Tamandua tetradactyla: one gene and its partner. Each later gene encodes a partner of the first gene's protein in a complex. Links are inferred from orthologs where the notes say so. Each region holds a gene or a part of one and is shown on either strand. Other genes may lie near its edges.

Evidence for each region. The genes of interacting proteins can lie anywhere in the genome.
Region 2: the proteins of SNAP25 (region 1) and NAPA are in contact, whole or in part, in a cryo-EM structure (PDB 6MDM), measured with the Rattus norvegicus proteins. The link is inferred for Tamandua tetradactyla from reciprocal best matches to the Homo sapiens genes SNAP25 and NAPA. Residues at the interface, in NP_112253.1 of Rattus norvegicus: Glu37, Lys40, Asp41, Ile44, Arg45, Leu47, Asp51, Glu52, Glu55, Gln56, Arg59, Glu62, Gln152, Asn159, Met163, Asp166, Glu170, Thr173; in NP_542152.1 of Rattus norvegicus: Lys122, Glu155, Glu156, Ser157, Asn158, Ser159, Ser160, Asn162, Pro196, Leu197, Leu198, Tyr200, Ser201, Lys203, Asp204, Ala234, Phe235, Ser236, Arg239, Ser268, Ile269, Ser270.

What each region holds. Positions count from the first base shown.
Region 1 is NC_135327.1:50,603,586-50,610,688, forward strand, and holds the start of SNAP25 (synaptosomal-associated protein 25), read right to left. Parts: upstream 3,065-7,103; 5' UTR 2,936-3,064; intron 1-2,935.
Region 2 is NC_135342.1:13,632,036-13,639,375, reverse strand, and holds the start of NAPA (alpha-soluble NSF attachment protein), read right to left. Parts: upstream 3,075-7,340; 5' UTR 2,918-3,074; coding exon 2,820-2,917; intron 1-2,819. Other genes in the region: ZNF541 (zinc finger protein 541), read right to left, coding at 7,205-7,340. UniProt on the Homo sapiens protein: Required for vesicular transport between the endoplasmic reticulum and the Golgi apparatus. Together with GNA12 promotes CDH5 localization to plasma membrane.

The sequences.
Region 1 (7,103 bases):
CCTTTCTCAATCTCTCAAATTACTTCTCTCTCTTCTGCTAATCCTTCACAACCTATACGTTTTGCTAAAGGCCAGATGCTACACAGAGAGGTGTCACCGACAGAAACATAGATCTTTCAGTTGATAAACACCACTCTGGGGTTAACATTTGGGGCTTAGGAATGTTTTTAGACAAGCTAATTAAGGGACAGCTTGTACTGGATGTGTGCATGGGTGATTGTGCGTGTTTAACAAAGTAAAAATAAAATTGTGAATTCCTGAGAGGTATCAGCATGGGGACGTTAGGTAGACTGGATATTATTTTGTAGTCTGAATCCTGTGGTGGATAATGCAGAAAATGCCAATAGAAGCAAATAAGCAGGTACCATCAGAGGGTATAGATGAATGTTCCTATCTGTTCCTGCCTCTTTTCACTGTTTTGCCCCCCAGACTTTTAAAATTTAAAATAGGAACTCCCTTGATTTTTTTTAAGTTTATCAACAATATAAATTTGAGTTCATGCTTCAGTTATGATTTTCTTTAATTTCTAAGGAAGCTATCCTAGAATTAACTCCATAATTGTGCACATCTCCTCTTCCCCCCAGCACTGTGCTTTTTGCCAGCTTCACTGCAGTCCTCCTCCACCTCCCTCTTCACCCCCATCTTCCACTTGCAAACAAACCCAGCAGTAATTACTAATATCTAAGCACGTAATTCCAGCAGCATTAGGCTTTTTATTTGATGTAACTACGCAGAAAGCTGTCTGGACATACAGCATGAAGTCAAAGCATTTTTTAATACTCCTGCCCATCTTTTCTCCCCTCTTCTCATCACTAAAAAACTGTTGTTTATTTCTTCTGCAGATTGCAGAGTTATGAACTTCTTTTACGCAGTAACACACTCAAATAAATTTCCACCCAAATAACTTTACATCCATGCATACAGGTCAACATATGCATATATGAAATATATAGTTATCCATATAAAGGAAAATCACTAGGAAATAAATAGCTGGGAGCAAAAATACCTTTTCCATGTAGATGGACATTTTAGCACCTCTAGTATACACGTGATTGGAATTATTACTGGCTAAAAACATTCCAAGATCTTAATTTGGGGCGTTTTAGAGGACCATAATGGCATTTTTTTAACGCGTCGCATATATTTTTACATATGAAACTGTTACTCTAATTTACTCAAAAAGCACAATTTTACTTGTCATTTTATGCAATCTTTATATATATCAAACAGAGAAAAAAATATTATTATGATGATTTTTGCTGGTTTAGAGGCTCCGAGCCTCAGAGTAGAAAATGGTTCAAGTACCTATCGTCGCCTTGGCAAAATCCCGCAGTGCTGCAATAGAAATTGCAGTAGAATTTTAGGCCAGAGTCCAGTTTTAGTCTAACATGGTTCTTTCACCTGCATTACCCTGAAGGGCACAATTGGATTCAACTGAGGAAGCCCAATCTTAATGTTGTCAAATCAGAAGCTTTCAGCCTGAGATAACCAATGTCCTTAGAAAATATTTACTTCCAATAACTCTAAAACCTTAACTAAAGGAGTTAAATCTATACACTCTACGACCTGTAAATATTTCTCAGAAACATAGTTTTGTGGCTGTGTGTTTGTGCTCATACATAATTACAAGAGTAGGGGGAGAAAGAGGAAGAGGGATTCATTCTTAAAGTTAATTATGCTTAGTTCAGCTATCCCCAATTTTTTGCTAAATAGAAATATATATGGAGAGATCACTCCTATAAATAGATAATGTTGACATCTTCATTTTTATCCCACTCATGCCCACCCAAGATCTGTAGGCAGTGCATTACGTGCTCTGTGTTAACATAAAAACAAACCAAATCTTGACATCCGGTAGAAAGGTAAACGCAGATTTAAGAAATGTGTTTATTTCCTACCTAAAATAAAGGGCAACAGAAGGTTTCCACAAAGTAGACTGTTATTTTTTTTAAAGCTAAGCAGGAGATCTGGAGAAAGCAGGCATTGCCTGCAAAGGAGTCCCTGCGGGCATGATTTATTTATTATTATTATTTTTTTTTTTACCTACTACGTCTGCTCTTAAATACTTCATTAGGGGTCTCTGTGAGACCAGGTTTCACAGCGGCAATCTGTCCTGCAGCCCTGGCACAGAACATCCTATCCAGGCCCCTCTGCCTCTGAAGCCGGGTCGTTGTCCGCGGTGCTGAAAGGTCACGGGCGCCGGCGCGGGCCTTTGTATCGCTGTCCAGGGTGCTGAGTGAGGGCCGTCGCAGTCCCCGAGGCCATCCCATCCCCGCCAGCTCTCCGCAGAGCCCTCCCACCCGGCACAAACCGCCCGCCTCCCGCCAGGCTGCAGTTGACGTGGGGCAGGAGGCATGAATCAAGTCTGTGGGGGCAAGGAGGCTGCTGTCGCTGCCTCAGCTCAGCTTGCCCCGGACGGGAACTCTCCCCCTTCCCCTCCTTTCGCCTCCCCAACGCCCACAACCTGCCTTTCCCTCAATTCTGCACTGGATAATAGCACGCTAAAGGCAAGTCATAATAACAGGGTTAGAAGAACAGATTTTTTTTTCTTTTCTTTTTGTCTACAGAAGCAACAACAACAACAACACAACATCAGCCTAAACACCTCTGAAAACTGCGTCGCAAAATGGAAGAGAGAAAGGGTCCCACCACAGTTTTAAAAGAGTAAGTTATTATTTGGATCGTATCCTTACGTTTCCCTCCCATCGCTCCATCCGCAGTAGCCCCATTCATCCCTTCCACAAGCAGCCCACCTCAAAAACACTTTATAAAGCCCCAGGCGGGAGTCCAGCCAGGCGCGCACACACGGAACACCGCGCCCCAGGCGCACAAATACTTGTACTGCCCAAGGCCACTAGGTCTGCCCAGCTGCGGTCCTCTTTGGGAATGCAACCTCTCAGAGTCAGCACCGGGGCCCGGGGAGGGGGCTTCTTACCTGGGCTTCCCGGGAGGGTAGTGTTCGCCGGATCCCAGCAGGTTGCGAGTGTGCAGGAGCCGCCGAGCAGGGAGGGAAGGCGAGACAGAGCCTGACCTCCCCGAGGTTTCGTCTTCAATGCAACGTGAGCTCTGCCCTCATCAAAGATGGCCGTCCCTCTTGACGTCAGCAGCTTTTAATAGCCGTCGCCTCCAGGGGCGGGAGGAAGTCTGCGGCGGGGAGGGCGGAGGGAGGGCGGAGGCTGCGGGTGGGACGCGAGCAGCCGGTAGGCGCCGAGCGCTTGACTCAGCTCCCGGTGAGCGTTACTGAAACCTTTGTATTTTAGTCCCGTACAAACTCTGAAACGGGGCTATCCTTATGGCTGCATTTTAATACACCGTCTCGGGAAAACACATTAATCTGACGACTGTTTTTCTAGTGTCATACACGTGTGTTTGTATATGTGTGCTAACATATGCATGTTGTGTGTACATGTTGCATCCTGTATGTATATTATGTCTATATATCCATGTGTGTGTGTGTGGGGGGCGGGGTGCATACTTTATTCTCCCCGCTGAGTTGAGTCATGGAAGGAGGAGGGGAAGACCGAGGAGGCGGAGAGGGAGGTGGTGGCGGCGGGGAGGGACGCTGGGGGAGCTCGATTTCAGCAGCGATTAGTTTTCCCCAAAGAAGAGGGTCCGAAGGGGCATCCCTGTCAACCCTCGCCAGCTCCATATATGGCCAGGCTACGTGGGTTACTATTTTTATGAGTGATTTGTTCATTTTATCAAAGCAGCACCCAGGGCTTGGAGTTCGTATTAATGTGGTCAGCTGGGAAGACAGACTCGCGCACGTTATTTGAACGGACGTCAGAGCAATTATCTCCCAGAGATATCAAAGGAGCTGGGGGAGAGGGGAGCGAAGGGTCGTTAACCCAACCAGCGTGGGTTTGCAAGGGCTCGAGGCTCCGAGTAGCGTTGTTTACCGAGGGCAAAACAGATGACGCTGCTTTCGCTTGAATTTGCAATCGGGTCCTGAGGTTGTGCGTTGGGTGTCTTCAGAACAGCCCTCGGAGGCACGTATAGGACCGTCCAGACTTCCGGGGGAAGGTGGAGGACTGCAGGATCCAGGGTGGGTTGGACGCGATGAAGTTCTAGTGATTCTCTCGATGCGCGAACCCTGGGTCAGAGTAGAGGCTGATTTGGGGGACTTATGATGTTCGCAACAGGACGTGGGCAAGAAACGATAGTTTTCCTGGTCATCTGAGAGATTAAAATAATAAGCATAAAGCAATAATACTTCCTCCCTTGTGCACTAGGCGACCAGGGAGAGCTGGGGTGGGGGTGGGGCGACAGGGGGTGGGTATGCAAATGGCTCCGCGGTGGCAGCCTCTCCGATGATTCACAGGTGTTGGGGAGGTTGTTGTGGGGCTCTCCGCGGGGAGGGCGAGCTGGGGAGCGCGTGGGAGGTGGGGGACTTCGGCTGAGGAACTGTTTGTACTTTTCCAGGAAGGATGCGATTAGAAGTCGTGCCTTGCAATGTTAAAACTTGATGGCCTCTTTTAGACGATGGAAAATCCTTGTCTGCTTTAGAAGAAGCCATTCAGAGCTAGGTCCCGAAAAATGACACACAATAAAACGTCCCCCACCCCAGCATACACCTACACCTACACACACACACATTCCAAGCATAAACAATTATAAGCCTTTTAATTGCACGTGTTGGAGAGAGAGACACACAAGGAGAGAGAGAGACATGCAGACCCTGCGAGAGGAGTAAAAAGAGGCGTAAAGGGACTGGTCAGAGGAAGCAAAGCTGTAAGAATTTTGAAAGAAAGCCGTTAATTTAAATGAGTAGATGTCATTGTTTCCTAAAGATTCTCTGACCAAAAAGGTATTTCAAAATATTAATCTTTGCAATAATAATTAACCAATGCTGTTTGGATTTTTATTAAAGTTGGAGTCCTAAAACAAGGCACGTTACTGAAATTTGTTTACTTAAATATTTATTAAACATTTAAGATTCTTATACAATAAAGAAGAGGAAAATCAAAATCCGTATAGTCCTTAGATAGTTAATTGCCAATAAAACTCTCCTACTTATGATTCTTAATTTCGTGGTACAGCAAGTAGGAATGGGATGGGAGAAGTGGTGACAAATGCAATGGCACTGCAAAATCTTTTATAGTTAGGATTTTTTCCAAAATGTGACACCCACAAAAAAGGCAGCATGTAGACGTTGGGGGTGGGGTAGGCAGGAGGCAGATCTGCAGTGGGGAGAAACAGAATATGTGTAGGGCTCTCAGATCAGAAGTCATTCAGGCAGCAAGTTTTGTGAAGGAATGGGGCAGGGGTGGGGGTGGGGGACAGGGTATTTTCCGGATTAAAAAAAAAAAGTAAAAAAGTAACTATGTCAGTGAGGGGAGCTTATCCTGCAGGCAGAAGCTATATGGAAGGCAACTGGGGAAGGACTGGCCATGTGTTCTGAGTTTTCAACTGCTGCTGCCCCAAGCTGACGTCTTAAAAAATTACAGATAAGATGAGAGCCAGACAGATTCAGAGCATCACAGAAAGGCACAGGCCCTACAGGATTATTTTGCAGTGGTGACAGCATTTTCCATTCCCCTCTGCTGGTGTTGAAAAGGATGCCATTTGAGAGGTTCTTCCTCTCGCTCTGGAAAAGACAGCAGAGAAACATAAATACTGGACATTTAGGTCCATTTGGAGCTAAAAATTCTACTAAGGATGAATGGATAGCCTAAAATGCATTTTGAATATGATAATGAGGTTTTCCCTTTAGGGTTTTCTCGTTGCTTGATTAAAAAAAAAACAAAGAAAAAGGAAAAAGAAAAAAAAAACATTTACAGTCATTTTTGACAGTAGGACAACCAGCAGATTCATTTTGCTCAGAGTCTATAAAAGCCTGAATAACAGAGAAGGAAGGTGATAGAAAATTTGTTCCAAAATGATTCAGCTGCCTGTGAGTTATTTCTATAACTCAAATGTAAAGTAGCTAATGCTTAGGAACTCATTCCATGAGGAAAGAGAAAATTACCTGCTCTGTAGGATGGATATTTACACTATGCTAATTCAGTCTCTGAAGGTGTTTTCTGGTACACCAGGCCCCGAGGTGTTCTGGTTTGTAATGGCTTCCGATCCAGAGTATTTAGCTTGTATTCTCTTTACTGAGGTGCAAAATTTATAGTTGACTCAAAAGTTACAACCTGGGAAGGATAATACAATATAAGATTTTATGAAATACCATATAAACCCAAAGTCAACTTGGGAGTAGTTTAGAACTAACCCAACTCAAAACCAATCCCCCCAAATTCCTCCTTGGGGTACACCTGGCACTCTGAAAAATGTATCAGATCACCCTGAGGGCATGAGACGAGGGCTTGAGAATACACAGCTTGACAGATCAACTGTTTTGATTCCTTGGTTTGCTTTTCACGTGATGTGTTTGTCACTTTCTCTTTACATATTCTTGTAGCTGTTACCCCAGTTCCTGCCCCACTCACAGCTCATGACCTAATAGTAACTTGGGAAAGCTAAAATGCCCCAGGTCTAAACTCTCCAGGCTGTGGCTGTTTCCTGGAGCCTCTGAGATAGGGACGTGTCTTGTGAGAGGTAGAAGGAGAGCCAGGGATATTGCTTTCTGTTTCTGGCTTGCCATGTTGAGGTACAATAAGTCCGCATGCTTAGAATTTTAAATACCATTTTGTCCTTTACTAAGAACAGTGTTGTGGAAAGGAGGGGAGTGGTCTCCAGTCAGAGGCCTGTTCCATAACACATCCCTCCCCCTAATTCTGAGACGCGGTCACGTGGGGAGACGTGTAACAATCACAGGCAGAAGGGAATGGGGAAATGGTAGTCAAAATTAGCAAACTTCAAAAAGGCTATTTGAAAGGGATTACAGTACTCTTTCAGCAAACCTTTTAAGCATCTTAATAATTTCCATAACTTCACTATACCTCTGTTTTATTATAGGCAAAATCAGGATAATAATTATACCCAACTTACAGGGAAAGTGCTTAGCACTTAAAATTATGTCTGGCACTTGTTGAGTACTATGAAATATTGGTTAAATAAAGTAAATCTATCAATTTGATAAGGTTTTAAATTTCTCTAATTGTTGCTATACTATGGAGGGACTGAGTTCATTAGTTGCTAACTAGATGCATATCATT
Region 2 (7,340 bases), on another chromosome or scaffold:
TGAAATAATGCAGCTGAAGGACCTGGCTTGGGCCTGACTCAGAGGGAGCACTCAGGACACATTATCTGCTACCACCTGTCACAGCCGCCACAGCCTCCTGCCTTTACTCTCCTCCATCCCCCATCACTCCTCCCCCCAGCTGCTGCACTCATCTTTCCAAAAGCTGAACAGGAGCCATCCTACTCCTGTTAAATTCCTCAGTGTTCTTCAGCAACTCAAGTCCAGGCTCTTTCTCACAAAGCACTCTGGGACTGGGCCTTGCCCTCTTCCCTATCTCCAGCCTCCCTGCTCTAACCTTACATTCTAATAATATGGAACTCTCTGTAGCTAAACCTTCATTCACTGCCCTTCACACTTCTGAGCCATTGCTCACGCTGTTCCCTCTGCCTGGAGTGCTGTTCCCCCACTAGAACCCTACTTATCCTCCAAGATGGTGCCAGGCTAGCCACTCCTTCACAAGACTTTCCTGGTCCCCTAGTTCCCATCATTCTAGACAGAACCTCCCCTCATATTAGACTTTTCTTGCCCCCACCCCCCACACTATTCCTGCAACCTACCACACCCTCCCAGGCCCCCATTCCTTTAGCAAATCCTAGGGTTTCTTGGGGCCTTGCTCACAAAGAGCCTTCCTCCAGGACATGCCGTTGCCTCCCACTTCAGGAACTTCACTTGCACAACATAATTTAGCCCTCTATTACATCGGACAATCTTGCTTTACTGGATTTGGCAAGCGTTCGTCTTGCTTTCCCAATCAGACTGCATGTGCCTCAAGGGCTCTGACCGGCCTGACTGAGCTGCTCCCACCATGCATAACCCAACAGTACACTGAATTTCAGTCTGAAGGGACCAGACACCCAGAGCCACACAAGGAAAATGACTCACTACCTGAAAATGAGCTCTTGGCCCCACCATCAAACACGGCACTTGAGCTTCAGGGAGGAAAGAAGCAGCAGCACATACATACCTTCTCTCTCTTCTCAGTCTCTAACATCAAAATTCCTCCCCTACAATCCCATCAGCTCTGGATGTTTCTTTGCACTAGGCATCATTGCTCAGATACTTTTTCAAATTAGTTTTGCTAAATATTATTCAATCTTAAATAACAATGGAGGCTCCTTTCACCTTCCCTTCATTTCTTATCAATCTCTGCTGGGTTCCTAACTCAGTCTCTTCCAATTTCCGGGGCCTCCTCCAAATCCCATTATCTAGACTTCTGGAAGATTCTTCCATCCCACAGCCATCCCCAGTCTCTGCCTCTCTCTGGATCCTGAGTCTGTGCCCCGCACCCCACTTCAGTTCTTCTCAACTCTTTACAAACCCACAGTCCCTTTCGCAAGCCTCCTATCAGGTCAGACAGCCTTCTGCTCACCTTTTCAGGTCCTTCCCCCAGCCTTCCCCCTCCCTTCTACTTCCTCTGCCCAGAGCCTCAAGCCCCTCCCCTTAACCCTATTGGATACCCCTGGACCTGAGCCCTTTTTCCACACCATTTCAGCTCTTTTTTCTGCTCTGTCACACAAAGGCTTCTTCATTCTCAGACCGCATCCCCTCAACTCCTCCCAGACCTCTCCCCTCAGGCCCCTACCTCCATCCCCTCCAGTCCTCTCCAGGTTCCAAATCTTAAGCACAGAAATGTTAATAACGCTGGCTAGCACTTCTGGAATTTTAACCACGTGCTAAGCTCAAGTTAAGCACTTTACACATATTGTTATTCAACACTCCAAGGAAACCAATGAGATAGATTTCCCCACACTCCCCTTTAACAGGGAAGTTAAACAATTTACCCAACATCATGAAGTAGCAAAGCCACACTTTGTGACACTCCTAAACCACTCAGATTCCTCAAAAGAGAATCATCAGCATTATTTGTCTGAGCTAACATGAATTTTATGTGAAATGTCTGCCACGCTGTTGGTGTGAGTTGTCCCCCAACATCTTTAAGGCCCCTTTCCTAGTTTGCCAGAGGGATCTTCCTTCTGAATCTTTATTCAACGATCAAACATCGTGTCCTCAGCCCCCTTTTGGTTTTCTCAGTCCCCTTACCTCTTTCACACCTAGAGATCTCCAGCCCCTTGGCCCAGATCTCCCGCCCTGCCTTCAGACTTAACTCCATCACCCCTGGGCCTCCTCCACCCAGGTCCCATTAAGTATAAGACTTTTTAGATTAGTCACCACTAACCAGGCGCATACTCACCCCAGGCATCCTCACACACCTCAGTCTTGAACTCATCACCTCCAAACCACCTTAGCCCCGATCCCCTCGGCCTGGTATCAGATTCCACCAGCCCTCACCCTGTCACCTGGCCCCCGGAAATCCACTACCGGAGGCCTGGGGAAGGTTAACCCCTAGGGCAGGTGATCTCAGTCCGGAGCCCCATAGCGTCCGCCTGGGATCCCGCAAGTAGGCTCTCCCTGCGCTCCGAAAGGCTTCTCAACCTTGCTGCCCTCCCGGCTTCCGCAATCCCTTCAGGCCGAGCCCCCTTCCAGGCCTCAGACTAAAGACTTTCGGCCCAAGGTTTCCTCCCATCCCTTGGCCCGTCTTCAGCCTGGATCCCCTTCGTCGCCTCAAGATGGTGTCACCTCGGCCTGTCTCCCCTCGTACGAGATTCCCTCCGCTGTCTCAGCCTCCCCTCAAACCGCGCTGCACGGCCCGGGGCCCCCTGGCTCTCAGCCTGTGTCCCCTCTGCTGCCTTGGGCCTTATCTCTTATCCCGAATTCCCTCCGTCCCTTCGGCCCGAGTCGTCCGTGCCTCCCCGGCCGCCTCAGGCCGCGCTCCCGTTCTCTCTGCCGAGGTCCCGCCAGCCCCTCGGCCCTGTTCTTACCCAAAGAGGCCGGAGAAGAAGGACTGCGAGTTCTTCACCTTGCGCTCCGCCTCGGCCAGCAGCGCTACCGCCTCCGCTTCCTTCCCCGAATTGTCCATGGCAGCCGCGAAGGGACTCAGCAAACGGCCCGGCCCGGCCCTCGGAGAACTCAGCACCCGCCGCGCCAGGCGGATCGGCGGAGCTCAGCAGGCTGCGTTGACGTCGCACCGGCACGTATCGCCTGCTGCCCGGCGCCATGTGACCCGCGCCGACCAACCAGCGCGACGTGGAGCGCGACGCTCGCCCCGCTGGCCCCGCCCCTGTTAATCGGCGCACGAAGACCCGTGACTCGCAACCACCAGTCGGCGTCCACAGCTTCGGCGCACGCGTACGACACCACCACGTGACACGAGCTAAGCCAATCAGAGCGTCAAGGACCTGCTCGAGAGTGCGGCCTCTCTGGAGCCTCCTCCGCTAATCAGCAACAGCAGCCCTCGCCTGGGGTCCGCCCTGCCTGGGAAACTACGGCACTAGTCAGCTGACCGCCGGGCCTCACGTGACAACCCTACCCCCCCACCCCCAGCCCGGGGCGCACGCCTACGCCCGAGTTTGACAGTTCCCTTGCGCAGAGCTCAGTATTGCCTCAGTGGTGTTACCTCGCGCCATCCTTCTTCGCGTATGTGGTGGAAAATAAACTTTTCTGCCTCTTCTTACGCCCTCTGCCGACTGATGCTGGAACTGGTTTAGTCCTGGGTAACTTTGAGAGCAGAGGTTTCTAAACTCTGCTTGCAAGGGCAATAGTTGGGAGAACGTGTTAAAATTGAGGTTTGAGCACAGCCCATTCAGTCTCCAGATCTTGGTTCCTACTATCATTCTCCCATAGAAGAAACCAGGGGGAGGGAAAGTACACGTAGGCGGAGCATTTTGTAGTGTCCGAAAGTAAGGAAGTGCTAAAAACAAATCACACAAACACGATGTGGGTTTATCAAAGGGCCACATGCACCAACTGAAAGGAGAAGGAGCCTAAGTCCCAACTCTTTAAGTGTGGGCTGCACAAAGTGACTTCCTTTTCAATTATCAACGCGGGGGGGGGGGTGCGGGACAGGACAGCAAGTAACTTTACAGTTGAGAAATGAAGCACTGCATCAGCTAGGTGATGACCAAGGTTAACACAAAGTGATGTCATGTTGCTAGTATATATCTTTGATAAGATGTGATGTAATGGTTCTTCTTTCCCAAAACATTCAACCCTAGTCTAATCACATGAAAAACAACAAATCCCAATTGAGGCACGTTCTATAAAATACCTGATCAGTATTCAAAACTGTTAAGATCATCACAAACAAGGAAATTTGGAGAAACTCACACCCAAGAGGAGCCTAAAGAGACGTGAGTATTAAATGTGATGTGGGATCCTGGAACAGAAAAAGGGCATTAGATTGAAACTAAGGAAATCTGAATGAAGTATGGACTTGAGTTAATAATTATGTATCAATATTGGTTCAATAATTTTAACAAATCTAAACAACAAAAATACCACACCAGTGTAAGATGTTAGAAGAAGAAACTGGCTGTGGGGTATGTGGGAACACTTTGTCCTATTCTCAGTTTTCTCTATAAATCTAAAATTGTTTTGTTTTGTTTTTTTCCTAATCCTGGTTCTAGGGCCCTAAATCCGAAGATTCTGATTCTCAAAGTCTGTGTCAGGGCACAGGAATCTGCATTTTTTTTACAGTCCCCTCCCCTCCATGTGACTCAGATGCAGACCATTGGGAAACCAGTTTGAGAAAACAGTGATCGGGTGGTGGACGGGAGGGCACCGAACACGCTGGGTGAGGCACAAGAAACCGTTGCCCAACTCTTCTTCTTAGATTTTCCTGGACCACCTATTTGTGGTTGCTGTTGCATCCTGACCACAGATCAGGTGGGGGTGGGTCTGCATCACCACAAACAGTTTTGGTTCTGTGTCTGTCAGTGGGGCACTACTCTAAAAGCTTCCACTTGTTTTAAGCTGTTGAGCTTGAGGGTATTTTGTTATGGAGCAACAAATAACTACTATACTCCCTGACTCTTTAAGCTAGGCTTTTGTTTCAAAGTCCAAGGAGCAAGTTTGACTTATTATTTAGGATGGAGTCCAAACGATGATAGTAATGCCATCAGAACTCATCGAAAGTTAGCTGTAAAATTCACATGGGGAACCCTGCAAAATACCTAATCATTTAATGGATACATGGGGATAGGCATTTTTCAATCTCATTTAATGGATACATGGGGATAGGCATTTTTCAATCCGCTTTAGAGGTGAGAAAATGAGGCTTAGACAGGGGAAGTGAGCTGCGTAAGGTCACAAAGAAGGGGAGACAGGATGCATATTCTGGTTCTTCTGATGCCTGAGCCTGGACTGCTTCAAACTTAATTCCTCCTCTACTCCTCCTCCCTCCGAGTCTTGAAAACTCGGCTGAGATATCAGCCCTCTGTGAAACCTGGCACCACCGTCTGCCCTGTTCCCCCTGCCAGATCCTTACACACAGGGCACACCCTTAGAGACCTGGCCAAGCAGTGATGTGCCCTGTCATCTCGGTGGTTGCTCTGCATCTGCTCGGCTGCTCAAGCCCCCAACCCACAGGCCAGCCTTGATCCTATCCTTTTCCTCACTACCTCTTCAATTTCCAAGTCTGTGCAGTCCACCTGCAAAATGCACCCCTAACCCACACGTTTCTTTGCCTCATCACTGCTACCACCCAACCTGGTACATTGCATCTTTTACCTTGGAGGCGTCTATCTACTCCCCCGATGTCCACTCTTGCCTCCTACAACCCATCTTCCACAGCAGTCAGAGAAATTTCTTCAGGCAGTTTGTCAGTTGTCACTTCCTACTTAACACCTCCTCTGGTCTCTAGCCGCAGAGAGTGCACTCTGCCCTTCTGCAGCCTGGGATCCAGATCCCAACTCAGCAGGCCCCTCAGTGAGGCCTTCTCTAGCTGTCCCACTAACACTGCCTGCCGCACTCTGGTCCTCTCCTAGGACTTGGCCCCTCCTTCACCTCCTTCATGTCACTTGGTGGGAGGACACTGTGGTCTGCCTGCCCAGTAGCCATTTCCATGTCCTTCTCTTCTCCTGGCTAAGAGACTTCCAGTTTTGTTCAGGTGGCAATAAACTTGAGGGCATACATTGGTCTTCCTTGGTCCCCGAGACAACCCTTGAGTGGTCCAAGGAAACAGTGATCATTTCTGCTCCATATGCCCGGGAGGAGTTTAGAAATGAGCACAGGCTATGGTTCCGGCTGATGAGACACAAGAGGCAGGCTGCTGGGAGCTTATGCAAGTTTTCCTTTCTTAACAAGAGAAACTAGGAAGGAAGGGATATGTTCTTTATCTGTGAACCTCCAACGATATGGATATTATTGTGGGAGGAGTTGAATCTTGTCTCTGCTGCAGTCTTGACTTTGTGGGTAGAGCCACGGGAGCCATACACCCTGACTGCTCACACTTACAACGACAGTCTTGGTGCTGTGGCCAAAAGCAGACCCACCCTTGAGATCTTAAATCGCCTCGTTCGCATCTCTGTTACTGTTATCTCCCTCCTAGAACGTGAGCTCTCTGAAGAAGGGGGCCCTGTTCCTCCTGAGTCACCACAACCCCATACCTGGGCTGGGCAATGTCTGGCCCACGCTACAGTAGGCGCTTAATGAATGTACAAATTAATCTGCCTGTTCCCTCCCCTCTGCCTCCCAAGGCTACCAGCTCCTCTGGGACACGAACCCATCTTACTCATCTCTGTGGCCCTGGAATGAGGCAGGGATGCAAAAGCCTTTGTGGGATCAACAGGCCAGGGAAGTCAGAAGACAGCTGCTCAAGAACCCAATTTAATAAGATTTACAAGTAGACACGTAAAAAAAAAAAAACCCTAACAATGTACAAGTCGTTGCAAGATTAGGGACTGAATCCTGAGTGCAGAGAGACCACCTACTTAGGGAGGCCCCAACATGCTGGGGGAGATCTGAAGGTATTTTCCCACTGATTCTCTAAATCTTGGCCTTATCTAACAAATATAACCAAACCCCAAAAGTGAGGCTAAGACTTAAGAGCTACCCAGATCTAACTTTTTCCCCTCCCCAAGTCTCCCAGCTCCAGGAGGAGTGGAAGCAAAAGGCAGGGAGAGACGATTAACATAAAAAGAATGGCACTTCTGGCACCCCCATGACAGGGACTTCACAAATGCCGGGTGACTGTGTGCTCCTCCGGCGGATCGATGGCCATGTGCCCAGCGTGGGACAATGCAGAGTGGGGGCAGCGAGGCAGGGCCAGCACCTTGGCAAGGTCTCCTCTTGGACAGACTACAGGGAGACGAGAGGCCTGGAGACCCCTCCCCCCCGTCTAGCCCAGCAGGCTGCCGCAGGGTGGGGCTCACCACTGCAGGGCACCGATGCCGGGCCCTGCCCCCTCCCCATCCTCCTCCTCCAGCTGGAAGGGCTTCACAGGCCACTTCACCCTGACCACGGGCTCCACAGCATCTTGAAGCCGGTGCCGCTTCATGTGGGCG